3 linked regions of the Mus musculus genome follow. The protein of the gene in region 3 purifies or fractionates together with the protein of the main gene of each other region. This does not show direct contact. Links are inferred from orthologs where the notes say so. Each region holds a gene or a part of one and is shown on either strand. Other genes may lie near its edges.

What was found. Proteins that work in one complex are often made in the same cells at the same time.
Region 1: the proteins of Map2k5 (region 3) and Cdc37 purify together in Homo sapiens (affinity purification with mass spectrometry; 3 studies listed by BioGRID and IntAct, with this or other methods). This does not show direct contact. The link is inferred for Mus musculus from reciprocal best matches to the Homo sapiens genes MAP2K5 and CDC37.
Region 2: the proteins of Map2k5 (region 3) and Hsp90ab1 purify together in Homo sapiens (affinity purification with mass spectrometry; 3 studies listed by BioGRID and IntAct, with this or other methods). This does not show direct contact. The link is inferred for Mus musculus from reciprocal best matches to the Homo sapiens genes MAP2K5 and HSP90AB1.

Annotation. Positions count from the first base shown.
Region 1 is NC_000075.6:21,147,132-21,151,248, forward strand, and holds the start of Cdc37 (hsp90 co-chaperone Cdc37), read right to left. Parts: upstream 2,804-4,117; 5' UTR 2,727-2,803; coding exon 2,625-2,726; intron 1-2,624. UniProt on the Homo sapiens protein: Co-chaperone that binds to numerous kinases and promotes their interaction with the Hsp90 complex, resulting in stabilization and promotion of their activity. Inhibits HSP90AA1 ATPase activity.
Region 2 is NC_000083.6:45,570,459-45,574,684, forward strand, and holds the start of Hsp90ab1 (heat shock protein HSP 90-beta), read right to left. Parts: upstream 2,804-4,226; 5' UTR 2,709-2,803; intron 1,454-2,708; coding exon 1,307-1,453; intron 1,162-1,306; coding exon 955-1,161; intron 720-954; coding exon 560-719; intron 342-559; coding exon 208-341; intron 109-207; coding exon 1-108. UniProt on the Homo sapiens protein: Molecular chaperone that promotes the maturation, structural maintenance and proper regulation of specific target proteins involved for instance in cell cycle control and signal transduction. Undergoes a functional cycle linked to its ATPase activity.
Region 3 is NC_000075.6:63,290,892-63,294,402, reverse strand, and holds part of Map2k5 (dual specificity mitogen-activated protein kinase kinase 5), read left to right. Parts: intron 1-638; coding exon 639-707; intron 708-797; coding exon 798-879; intron 880-1,627; exon of another isoform or gene 1,628-2,687; intron 2,688-2,718; exon of another isoform or gene 2,719-2,869; intron 2,870-3,511. UniProt on the Homo sapiens protein: Acts as a scaffold for the formation of a ternary MAP3K2/MAP3K3-MAP3K5-MAPK7 signaling complex.

The sequences.
Region 1 (4,117 bases), about 42 Mb from region 3:
TCTCTGCTGCCACACACTGCTGCCTGGCAGGTGGTCTTCCCAGGAAACTGGAAGGAATAGGTGTGTGGGTGGGACTGGGAGCCGAATGCTGGATTTGGGGAGGATGGGGAAGGACTTTCTAGGAGTAATGAGAAGTTTTCCCCAAGAAGGTGAGATGCAAAATTCCTAAATGGAAAGTACCTGCCCTCAGCTTGAGAGTATAACAAGCACAGGGGCCAATGAGAGGACTCAGTGGGAAAAGGCCTGCTACCAAGCCTGATGACTTGAGTTTGATCCCAAGAACCCACATGTAAGGAGAAAGTGGACTCTATCAAGTTATCCTTTGACTGCCACAAGGATACCTCGGCACACATACATAAGAATTAACACACACAAAAAAATTAAGATGTAACTTAAACAAAGAGTATAAGACACACAGGTATATGGGTATAGAAGTTTTAATTTGGGGAGCAGGTTAGGCCATTGTCTCTTTACTGCTGCGACAGAGTTGGAACCCAGTACCTCTTGCACGCTAGAGAAGTACTCTACCACTGAACCACACATCCAGGCCACCCTCACATCTTGGTAGTATGCTACAGGCCTGCAGGTAATGATGGCACAAGGGAGGGGCAAGAGCATGGCTTGCTCACACTTGGGGTTCTAAGGTCTCAATCTGGGGCGTCTGTTTTGGAGAGATGTAAAACTGCAGAGGACTGTATTTTATTTGCTTGGTGGTTGACAGGATCCCCTGTAGCCTGTGCCAGCCTCACACTTACCGTGGCTGACGACTTTGAACTTCTGACCCTCCTGCTTCCCTCTCCCCAGTGCTCAGACTACAGGCCTGCCCCACCATGGCTAGTTTTTAAGCAGTGCTAGAGATGGAGCCCAAGGCAATGCCATACAACTGAACTCCAGCCCATTTGGTTTTTGATATTGTCTCATGTAGTCCAGGCTAGCCTAGAATTTGCCCTATATCGAGGACTGACTCTGAATCCCAGATCCTCCTTCCTCGTCCTCCTCCTAAGACCTGAGTTTACAGGTGTGCTACCATGCTCAGAAAGTAAGGTTATGTGGGAACATTATCTGGGAGGTCCAGAGTTAACTAGGATGCTCTGAACCCTGGAGAGAGACAGATGAAGCTGGAGGGAACGGGCAGGTAGGACAGGACAGGCTTGGTTTTCTGGGTTGGTGAGCTGTCTTTTCTTTCTCTTCCTCCCCTCCCCCCTCTCTTTATCCTACCCGACTCCCGGCCCCATCCCTCCAGACAGGGTTTCTCTGTGTAGCCCTAGCTAGCTGTAGAACTCTCTGTAGACCAGGTTGGCCTTGAACTCACAGGCCTGCCTGCCTCTGCCCCCTGAGAGCTAGGATTAAAAATGTGTGTCATCATCATCTGGCTCCTGGTTTGGTGAATTTTCAAAGATGGCTACAGTTCATATAGGAGCCAAGGTGGGAAGGAGAGGGTCTACTTACTATACTAGAAGGAGCAGAGGTTCTAACAGGAAGTTAGGTGGGTGGGGTTTCCTGGAGTAACAGGAAATAAGAGTCTACAGGAGGTGAGAATAAGGAGAGCCACTGGAACTGAATGATGGGCAAGAGTGGAGATGGAGGTCAAATACAGAGGATAAGGGGGCTCTACAGGTATGTCCCATGTGGGACTCAAGTCTATAACCCAGGGAAAGGGATCCTGGACTGGGGAATCCCAGCTGCAAGCTAAGATTGACAGTTAAATTAAGGGCTCATTTAGTTTGGAAGTTGGGGGGGGAGGGGGTCGTCTCTGGGCCTTTAATAGAAATTCATGCCTAAGATCCTGGGAAATAGATGCCATAGTCAGAAGTTTTGTGGCTCCAGACTCTAAGTAGTGAGGAGAGGCAGAAGGGAGACGTGCAATATGAAGTGGGTGCGTGGCTGGGCTATGAGATCACCTAACAGAACCTGGGGTCCAGACTCTGAGGAAGAACAGAAGGTTCTGCACAGGATAGTGGGGACCCTACACACAAGGGTCAGCTTGGGGATGGGGAGAGGCAAGACTCTGACTAAAGTATTACCAACTGATAAAATGGCTCAGAGTGTAAAGGTGCTTGTGGCAACGTGGGGCGACTGGAGTTCCACAGCCAGTTCCAACATGGTGAAAAGAGAGGCCCAACTTCTACAAGTTATCCTGTGATCACCATAGGCATGCTGTGCCACGTGCACACGGGAACACACACAATAAATAAACTTACAAACAGAAGAGAACCATAGCACAGAGAGAACGCCTGGAGATACAGGTCAAGAATTACGGTGAAGAAGCCAGGAGTCCTGGGATGGAATTAAAAAGTCCGGCCCTGCATGAAGGCACATGTCTCTAATCCCAGTACTGGGAAGGCAGAGGCAGGAGGATCACTGTGAGTTAGAAACCAGCCTGTTCTACACAGCAAGTTCTAGGCCAGGGAAGGTTACACAGTGAAATTTTGTTTCAAAAAAAAAAAAAAAGAAAAAGAAAAGAAAAGAAAGAGAAAAGTCTAGATTGTGGAGCAGGCGGCTCCAGATGTCAATAACTAAGGTCTCCCCCGCCCCCACGCCAGGTGGCCTGGGGAAGAGGTCAGAACTCTAGAGCGGGGGGTCCCGGGAGTGGGGGGGAAGGGGATGAGCGCGCACAGCCCCACCTGGTGCCGCCAGCGGAAGAGGCTGGCAGTGTCTATGTTGGGGTGCGTCTCGTCCTCATCGTCCGACACCTCGATGTGATCCCAAACGCTGTAGTCCACCATCTTCGCTTCGGAGGCCCGGACTGGCTCCCGGGGCTCCACACGGCCGGGCGCTGAACAGGGACCCACAAGGGCTAGAGAGTCCGCTCGGCGAGCCCCGCCCCTTCCGCTTCCGCCCAGGGCGCCGCGCAGGACGGCCCCGCCCCAGCGTCGGCGCGGGACGTTACGTCCTTAGCAACGGGAGTCGGCGGCATTGGCAACCGGAGGTCTTCTTTAAAGGGCCAGGAGTATGTGGTGAGGCCTTCTGGAAGTTCCCGCCGAAACCAGACTGACCATCCTTTAGAAACAAAAGGTTAGTCGCGTTGGGCGTGGTGGCCCACGGTAATCCAAGTACGCTAGAGGCAAAAGCAGGTGGCTCTCCAGGAGTTCTAGTCCAGCCAGGGCTACATATTGACACTGTCAAAAAGTCAAAATTGGCTGGGCGGTAGTGGCGCTATGCCAGTACTCCGGAGGCAGAGGCCGGCGGATCGAGGCCAGCCTAGCCTACAGAGTAATTTTAGGGACGGTCAGGGTTGTTATACAAACAACACTCTAAAAAAAAAAAGTCAACATTGCATACACTAGCAAGATTTTATCGAAAGGACCCAGATGTAGCTGTCTCTTGTGAGACTATGCCGGGGCCTAGCAAACACAGAAGTGGATGCTCACAGCCAGCTAATGGATGGATCACAGGGCTCCCAATAGAGGAGCTAGAGAAAGTACCCAAGGAGCTAAAGGGATCTGCAACCCTATAGGTGGAACAACATTATGAACTAACCAGTACCCCGGAGCTCTTGATTCTAGCTGCATATGTATCAAAAGATGGCCTAGTCGGCCATCACTGGAAAGAGAGGCCCATTGGACACGCAAACTTTATATGCCCCAGTACAGGGGAACGCCAGGGCCAAAAAGGGGGAGTGGGTGGGTAGGGGAGTGGGGGTGGGTGGGTATGGGGGACTTTTGGTATAGCATTGGAAATGTAAATGAGCTAAATACCTAATAAAAAATGGAAAAAAAAAAGTCAAAATTGAGGCTGGAAAGTTGGCTCAATAGTTTGGAGACTGGCTGGTCTTCCAGAGCACCCGGATTCTGTTCCCAACACCTACATGGCCACTCACACCCATCTGTAAGTCCAACCCAGGATATATATATTATGTCCCCATTTGGCCTTTGACTACACCAGGCATGCATGTGGTGGACAGATATACTTGCAGACAAAACATTAATATACAATTTGTTTTTTTTAATCATGTTTGCCCTTAATTCCCACCCCACCCCCACCCCCACCAGAGTCTCACTGTATATAAGACAGCTCTGGCTGTCTTGGAATTCACTATGTAGACCAGGCTGACTTCAAACTAACAGATCTTTCTACCTCTTCTCCCCAGTGCTGGGGCTAAAGGTGTGCCCCACTA
Region 2 (4,226 bases), on a different chromosome or scaffold from region 3:
ATCTTCAATCTTAGGCTTCTCCTCATCCTCCTTATCTTCCTCCTCTTTCTCACCTTTCTCTTCCTCTGCCTCATCATCACTGATCTCCTTCTCCCGTTCCTTCTCCAACTAAATCACCAATGACACATGTAATTAATTGTGGAGAATGTAGCACCAGCAAGGCCCAGTGCCATTAGCCTGCTCCAACACTGCCAAGCCCATACTCACATAGAGGGTGATGGGATAGCCTATGAACTGCGAATGTTTCTTCACCACTTCCTTGACCCTCCTCTCCTCCAAGTACTCTGTCTGGTCTTCTTTGAGGTGAAGGATCACTTTGGTACCCCGGCCAATGGGCTCACCTACAGAGAACAAATCAAGACATGAAAAACTGAAACTAAAATACAAGAACGAACTACGCTTTTTTCGTTCCTGGTTTCTCAAGCAAGCTAAGATTCCTGTGTAGCCCCTTTGCTTGCCTTAAGAACTCACCCAAGTGCTGGCACTCACCACCCCTTAAAATGTACTTTTATAGAATACAACGTCTAAGGTTTCCCCACAATGTAGCCTGCTGCCTCACCATGGTCTGCCCGGACGGTGAAGGAGCCACCCGCAGACGACTCCCAGGCATACTGCTCATCATCATTGTGCTTCGTGATCACAACCACTTTCTCTGCAACTAGATAGGCCGAGTAGAATCCGACACCAAACTGCCCGATCATGGAGATGTCTGCACCAGCCTGCAAAGGGTTTGAAGTAAAGAGGATCAGCAACATGGTTCTTGGCCAAGTATAACCATCTGCTGCGCAAGGTAACAATCAGTTCAATGTCCAGAGATCTAGGGGTCAAAGCTGTCCTGACCAACCACTTGTACTTTTTTTCTAATAAGTGTCCTAATATGTAATACCCTAGACAGACAAATTTTAACTTAAGCAGTAACAAATTAGAGGACGGTGTGGATGAAAGGCCACACACCTGGAGAGCCTCCATGAACGCCTTCGTGCCAGACTTAGCAATGGTTCCCAGGTTATTAATGAGGTCAGCCTTGGTCATGCCAATGCCTGTGTCCACCAAAGTCAGCGTGCGCTCCTGAGGGTTGGGGATGATGTCAATTTTCAGCTCTTTCCCACTGTCCAACTTAGAAGGGTCCGTCAGGCTCTCATATCGAATCTTGTCCAGGGCCTGTAGTAAACGCAAAAAGCCAGATTATTTTATTTTTCCAAACAGTCCCTCCCCCTTCAACATCAACTGAACTGTTCTTCTCAATCACTCCCACACACACACACACTTCCGTGAAGCCTTAGAAATTCAACAACAGAATACTCACATCTGAAGCATTAGAGATCAACTCGCGGAGGAAAATCTCCTTGTTTGAATAGAAAGTGTTGATGATGAGGGACATGAGCTGGGCAATTTCTGCCTGAAAGGCAAAGGTCTCCACCTCCTCCTCTCCATGGTGCACTTCCTCAGGCATCTAAGAATGAAAGAATTACTACTAAGGACCATTATAGACACACATTTTAATATCCAGCTCAAACTTCTTTAGTCTGGGAAAGTATCCAACCCAAAGAGACAAGAGCAGCCATTTTCTTTAAAAAAGGACATTTAAGCTACAATGGCCAAGACAAAAATGACAGAAAAAAACCTAAAAGATGGGTTTTCCAGAACAGATGCCCAAAAGTCAAACTCTTGAACATTGGCATGTTCAGTGCATAGCTCACTGACTCTGAACAGAACACCTGGCAATATGGTAAAAATCCAGACTAAGTTAACAATACATAAAAAAGAACCTCAAGCAACCCCTGGTACTCACACCCCTTAACTACAATCTCCTCATTGGGGTGAGGAACAACTTTAACAGAAAAAGCAGTCTTTTTTAATTTTTATTTTATTCCACCCAGCAGGGCAAGAGAACCTTGAAGCTGTAGTCTGGGAGGCGCTCACGGGGCAATTAAATCAGGACAAAGAAATCAAGAGCTCCACCGTGACCACTCACTGTGCAGACTTGCATAGGCCGGAACCCAAGTAAAATGGTGGCCCAGCCGTCCAACGACCCTCGTCACTGCCGGACATGCGTCGGCAGGAGCCACACGGGGAGGGGGCGCCATTGAAACCCTCCCACCGCCCCAGCATCCGGGCACTGGGGCGGGGCGCCCAGGCTTCCAGAACAATCTGAGCTCCGGGGAGGGGAGGAGAAAGGGAGGGACCTAGGAATCTTCTCGTGCCTGCTCTGTCTCTCCTCCCCCGCCCTCCACTGGGAGGGCAGAAAGATCTGGAAAGGGAAAGCGCGGTGGGTTCCGGCGTCCCTGCTGTGCACCCCTCCCCAAAATCAAGCACGTTGGTACCGGCGGCGTCCGGGGGAGGCAGCCAGGCCAACCTCCCCAGGCCTTGCTGAGTCACGCAGAGCAGCCCGCCACCGCGCGGACCCTGCAGCCGCGCCCGGAAGTGGAGGGCAAACATGGCAGCGTCCCGGGTCGGCGACTACCACGTGCGGCCGCCCACCACCTGGCCGGGCCGCACCCCCACCCCACGCTCCGGGGAATCCACCCGCCCCGGGGAGCCTCGCGTGCAAGCCCGCCGGGGTACAGCCCGAACCTCTAACCTCTAGACACGTTATCTCCACAGGCTGCCCCGCCGGGGAAGGAGGCTTTGGGACAGATGAGATGGAGGCTGGGACCCCGGGAAGAAGCCCCCGGAGAGCCGCCGGGGACGAGAGACCCCGGCCTTACCTTGACGGGAAAGCCGAGTAGTAGTACAGAGCAGGGTGGTGGGCCCGGACCAAGTCCGACTCGCACGGCAAGCCTAGGCTGCGCGGGGGTGACTCAAGAGAGCTCCCGAACGCCCCCGACCGCCCTATATAAGGCGAAGCACAGCCCGGGCCCCGCCCTTGGATCCCTCCGCCTTAAAGGAGTGGCTGCGGGCCACGCACCTGCCGCCGCCCGCCCACCTTGACGTCATGGTAGCAGATCGTGGAGGGGGCGGGGAGGAGCGGGACCCCGGGCCTGGTTCCTGAGTCAAGGCCAATTCAATATCGTTTTGCACATCCCCCATTTCTGCAGGAGTAGGACATGTCCCCCCTCAAGATGAGCAGGGAGCATGCATATGCAATTAGGGATGTATCTGCGGGCGAATACCCTACGGACTGCCTCAGAAAACTCAAGGTAGGCGCTTCCACCCCCCCACCCCCCAAGAGTCCAGAACTCAGGGGACTGAAAGAGAATGGAGGTGGCCAACTCGGCTGCCATTTCCAGACCCGATCTTACTAGAATGTTCCCTACAAATCGCACATCAAGAGAAAAGGATGATAAATTCCTTGTCCAACTTTAAGGAGGCCCCCGATTCCCCCATCCCCACCCTCCCGGGTACAGCACAGCTTCAGGCTGGGAGCCGCTTTCCCCGAGGGGAGGGGCACGGGCCTGGGCTGGTAGGGACTCTTTGGCGGCCTGCGGCGGAAGGATCAGCAGCGGTGGTGCTGCGATTTCTTCCAGCAGTTTCTAGGCCTGTCTCGGCGGTCTCCACCCCTCCCCCCTAGGCTCCACCTCCCCTGCTGCGGCGGGGGCAGTGTCTTCGTCGCCGCTTGGCTGGGTGGCTTTTTTTTTTTTTTTTTTTCCCCTACCTTGATCTTACCCTGGGAAGAAATTTTCCCCAAGTCTGCCTACCGTGGGCCAGGGTTGAACGACCCTCCACGCGTGGCCCTAAGAGGCCCACATAACAGTGGGGGAGTGGAGCGCAGAGGGAGGGATAGCTGACCTGGATCGGTCACAGGGCACGGGGGCTGTGGGGGTGAGTGACTGCGGACACCTTCTAGTGAACAGAGAACCGAGCTAGCAGCTTGCGCTACTGGGTAGAACACTCCCCACCCCTCAGCCTCCCCGGTCTCCCACGTACACAGCGCGCGGGTACGTGCGCCCTCCCTATGTGAGCACAAGCTGTTTCTCAAGCTGGTTTCGCTTCTCTAGCCTCTTCCCTACTGCATGCAGCTCTTTGGACCTAGAGAGGAGCAGGTCCCAGTCTTTTCAGAGAAGCTGGAGTTCTAGGCATCCGCATGAAGGTGCTGGTCACAGGTTGGCCCAGTTCCAGGAGCCAGAAAACCAAGTTGTGCCAGTGCCTCTGTTCTAAAGGTGGCCTGCCATGTCCTTCAGCTGGCAATCTAGCCTTGCCTTTTTCCAAGGCTGCATCTGGAAGCTTGTTGGACTGATGAGCCCTCCAGTAGAGGATGGGCACTCAGTGCTCTGCTATCTTAGCTC
Region 3 (3,511 bases):
CCTGGGCAAGAGCGTTAAGTTCATATACTTGGACATTTCTGTGTTATAAAATCCACCTTGGTGGCAGATACTTAAGGAAAACCACAACCCGTCAGGAGGTCCTGGCTAAGCGTGGGAGTCAGGTGACGTGAGGACCTCTCCAGCTCTCAAGTCTGTCAGCATTTATAAAGAAACATTACCCACATGGGAGGAAGTAAGGTGACAGGGTTTTTAAACTCCCATTTCTTTTATTTCTGAAAATCCCATTTTAAAATGTTCTTTTATTTACCATCCCCTCTGCTTATCTCCGAGTGCCTGCTCACAGGGCTCTGCTCTTTTAATGATCTTCTTCTGAAAATAGCCGGTGTGGCTCAAATAGGGCACATAAATTGAGTGTTATAACTTAACTGACTTTTAAAGCCATTAATGCTGACCTCTGAGACCTGGCTCCTTCCAGGGTTCCATCAATCACCTCTGTACCGCCTCCTCCAGCGCAGAGGCTTAGCTTCAGAGACAGCTTTTTTTTTTTTTTTTTTTTTTTGGTGCTGGGGTTATGGGGATGCTGCATAAAGAAAGCACGGTATTTCTTTAGTTCTTGTATCTCACGTGCTATGTAACTTAAGGTAGACGAATGTGTTGACGCTGCTGTGTCTCTTCAGGTTATTCTGTTAGACATTACACTGGAGCTTCAGAAGCAGATCATGTCTGAGCTGGAAATCCTTTATAAGGTATTTTTTTCTTGGTCACTTTTATCTATGTAAATGCACATGGTGTCAGCATCTAGGTGTTAAACTACTTTTGTCTTATTTTTGTTACAGTGTGACTCATCGTATATCATAGGATTTTACGGGGCATTTTTCGTAGAAAACAGGATTTCAATTTGTACAGAATTCATGGATGGTGAGTTGTTCCCTTTAAACTACATTAAAAATGATTTTTTGAATCGATTGACGTAAATGTAGTCTTGACACAGATGTCCATTCCACTTTGGAGTGAGTGGCATGTGTTAACAACTGCCTTCTTTACACTGGCAGTTCTCTTCTGTTAGGGTTCCTGCTATTAGATATTTGTAGCTTGAGTGTAATAACAAGAATGCAAGTTAATCTCCTTTTACTAAAAATTTGCACTCGGGTCCAGTCGGCGCGAGGTCCCTGCTGCCTCTGTGCAGCCTGCCTTTGCTGGGAACAGATGCTCTGTTCTTTTAATGTTTCAGTCACCAAAACAGATTTTCTTCTAAAGAAATCTATTAACCCAATGTCCTGTGTCTTTCAGAAAGAAATAGGTTCTTAATTGCTAGACAAGAAATTGTTTTTCAACACAGCTGTTTAGCCGAGCTGCGTTTGGCTCTGTTTGGACGTCAGGCCTGTCCTCCTCTGCTTCTCATTCATGGCCATCAGCAGCACTCCCTTGATCTGAATATTGTGACAGGATATAGAGCTCTGGAAATCCTCTCACTGAAATGTCATTGTTACTCTTTTTTTAATGTATTGTAAATTTGGACACGTTCCCACCTTTTACAAGGTCAGTTTCAGTATCTAGCCTCCATTAAAATGTAGCATATGTGCCTTTCTACTTTCTTAGGTACATGCACACACAAAACAGACATACCATACACATACATACATACCACACATGTGCACCACTCACACAAGAAATATACCACCATACATACATACACACACTACACATACATACATACATACATACATACACAAATGCATACACGTTTTTACTTCTTTATGTATACACACCATGCAGCCACATATACACACACACCACACATATTCTACACAATACACTCCCCACACACATCACACATATACATACCATACACATGCATCATCTATATACACTACACACATGCACACTCACACATAGGCACACCTTTCAACTTCTTTAGGTAAACACATATATACCACACACATAAACATACACAGTTACACCATACATATACACACACCATAAACACACACAGGTACACACACACAAACACATACCCTTGATAACCACATAGGTAGTGTAATGGACACCGGTTAGGAAGCATGGGTTTGTAATCCCAGTACAGCTCACTCTTGTGAACGTGCATCCTTTGAGATCTGTATAACTTCAGTTACATTAAAACACTTTTTATTAAGATAGAATTAAGATACTATAAAACTCACCCTTTTGAAGCATACAACTTACCATTGTTGTCTAATTTCAAAACATTTCTAAAGAGAAATCCCTAGCCACATTAAGTGACTTAATCTCATCCCCCTCCCTCTACCCGCTGGCAGTCATTGGTTTCCTCTCTGGATGTCATGCTGCACATCAGTGGAGTCCTGTAGTCGACAGCCTTTGTGCCTGGTGGCTCATGCTCAGAACAGTTTCCAAGTTCATGCGTAACCGCAGCAGTAGCACCCACCACCCCTCACGTCACTAGCAGTAGTTTATTGAGTGGCTATACAACATTTGCTTGTTTTTCTTCAGTTGATGGTCACTTGGGAAATTTCCACTTCTTCCTTTTACATCTAAAAGATGTTTAATTTTATTGTGTGTATATGAATGCATGCACACATAGGTGTGCATGTGTGCTACTGCCTGCCTGGAAGGCCAGAGGACAGCTTTAGGAGTTGACTCTCCTTCCACCAAGTGCCCCCAGGGATCAATTCAGGTGATCCAGTTCGCTGGGAGTGAGGTGTCAGGTGATCCAGCTCGCTGGGAGTGAGGTGTCAGGTGATCCAGCTCGCTGGGAGTGAGGTGTCAGGTCCTGTGGCAACTCTTAATTTTTGAGGAAGTGTCAATCTGTTCTAGTCTGTCAGTGCTCAAATCATTTGCAGTTACTGTAAGTACTAAAGAAATACTGCAACGCAACGAGAAAAACACCAGTCACTCTTTAAAAAAAAAAAAACAGACAATAGATTGGTTATGAATTTCTCAAAGAAAGACACAATGGTCAACAGCCACATGAAAATACTTATCAACAGTGGTTGTCAAGGAAACCTAAATCAAAAACACATACATATTCATACCTGAGACCACATACACACAAAACAAAATCAACCACATAATAAGTGTAGACAAAGGCACAGAGAAGTTAGAATCCTCAGACAATGTTGGTGTGAAACTGAAATGGTGTAAAATAGATTAGAACAGCCTGACACTTCTTCACAATTTCCACAGAACCAAGTGAGTCCACTGCTACAGAAACCCAAGACAACTGGCTAGCACATGCACATTGTAGCCTGCTGCTGTGTTTATAGCAGCTCACAAGTGACCAAGATGGCTCAGTAAATAGAGGGGCTTGCTCTTTATAGCATCTTTCTTCTGCCTTCTTAGGGTATTGGTCCCTGTGCCAGTTTCAGTACACTACATTACATCCCAGTTACAGTACATTAGACCTCAGAAGGTCCTGTTTTGTTTTATGTAATTTCTAACTATTAATAGCCTATGTTTTGGGGGAAGGGCTAGCTTCATATACCTCCCTTTAGGTCTTTAAACATGGTTTCTCTTAGTTACATAGACATGGTGATTTGAGGGTTAGTGCACAGTC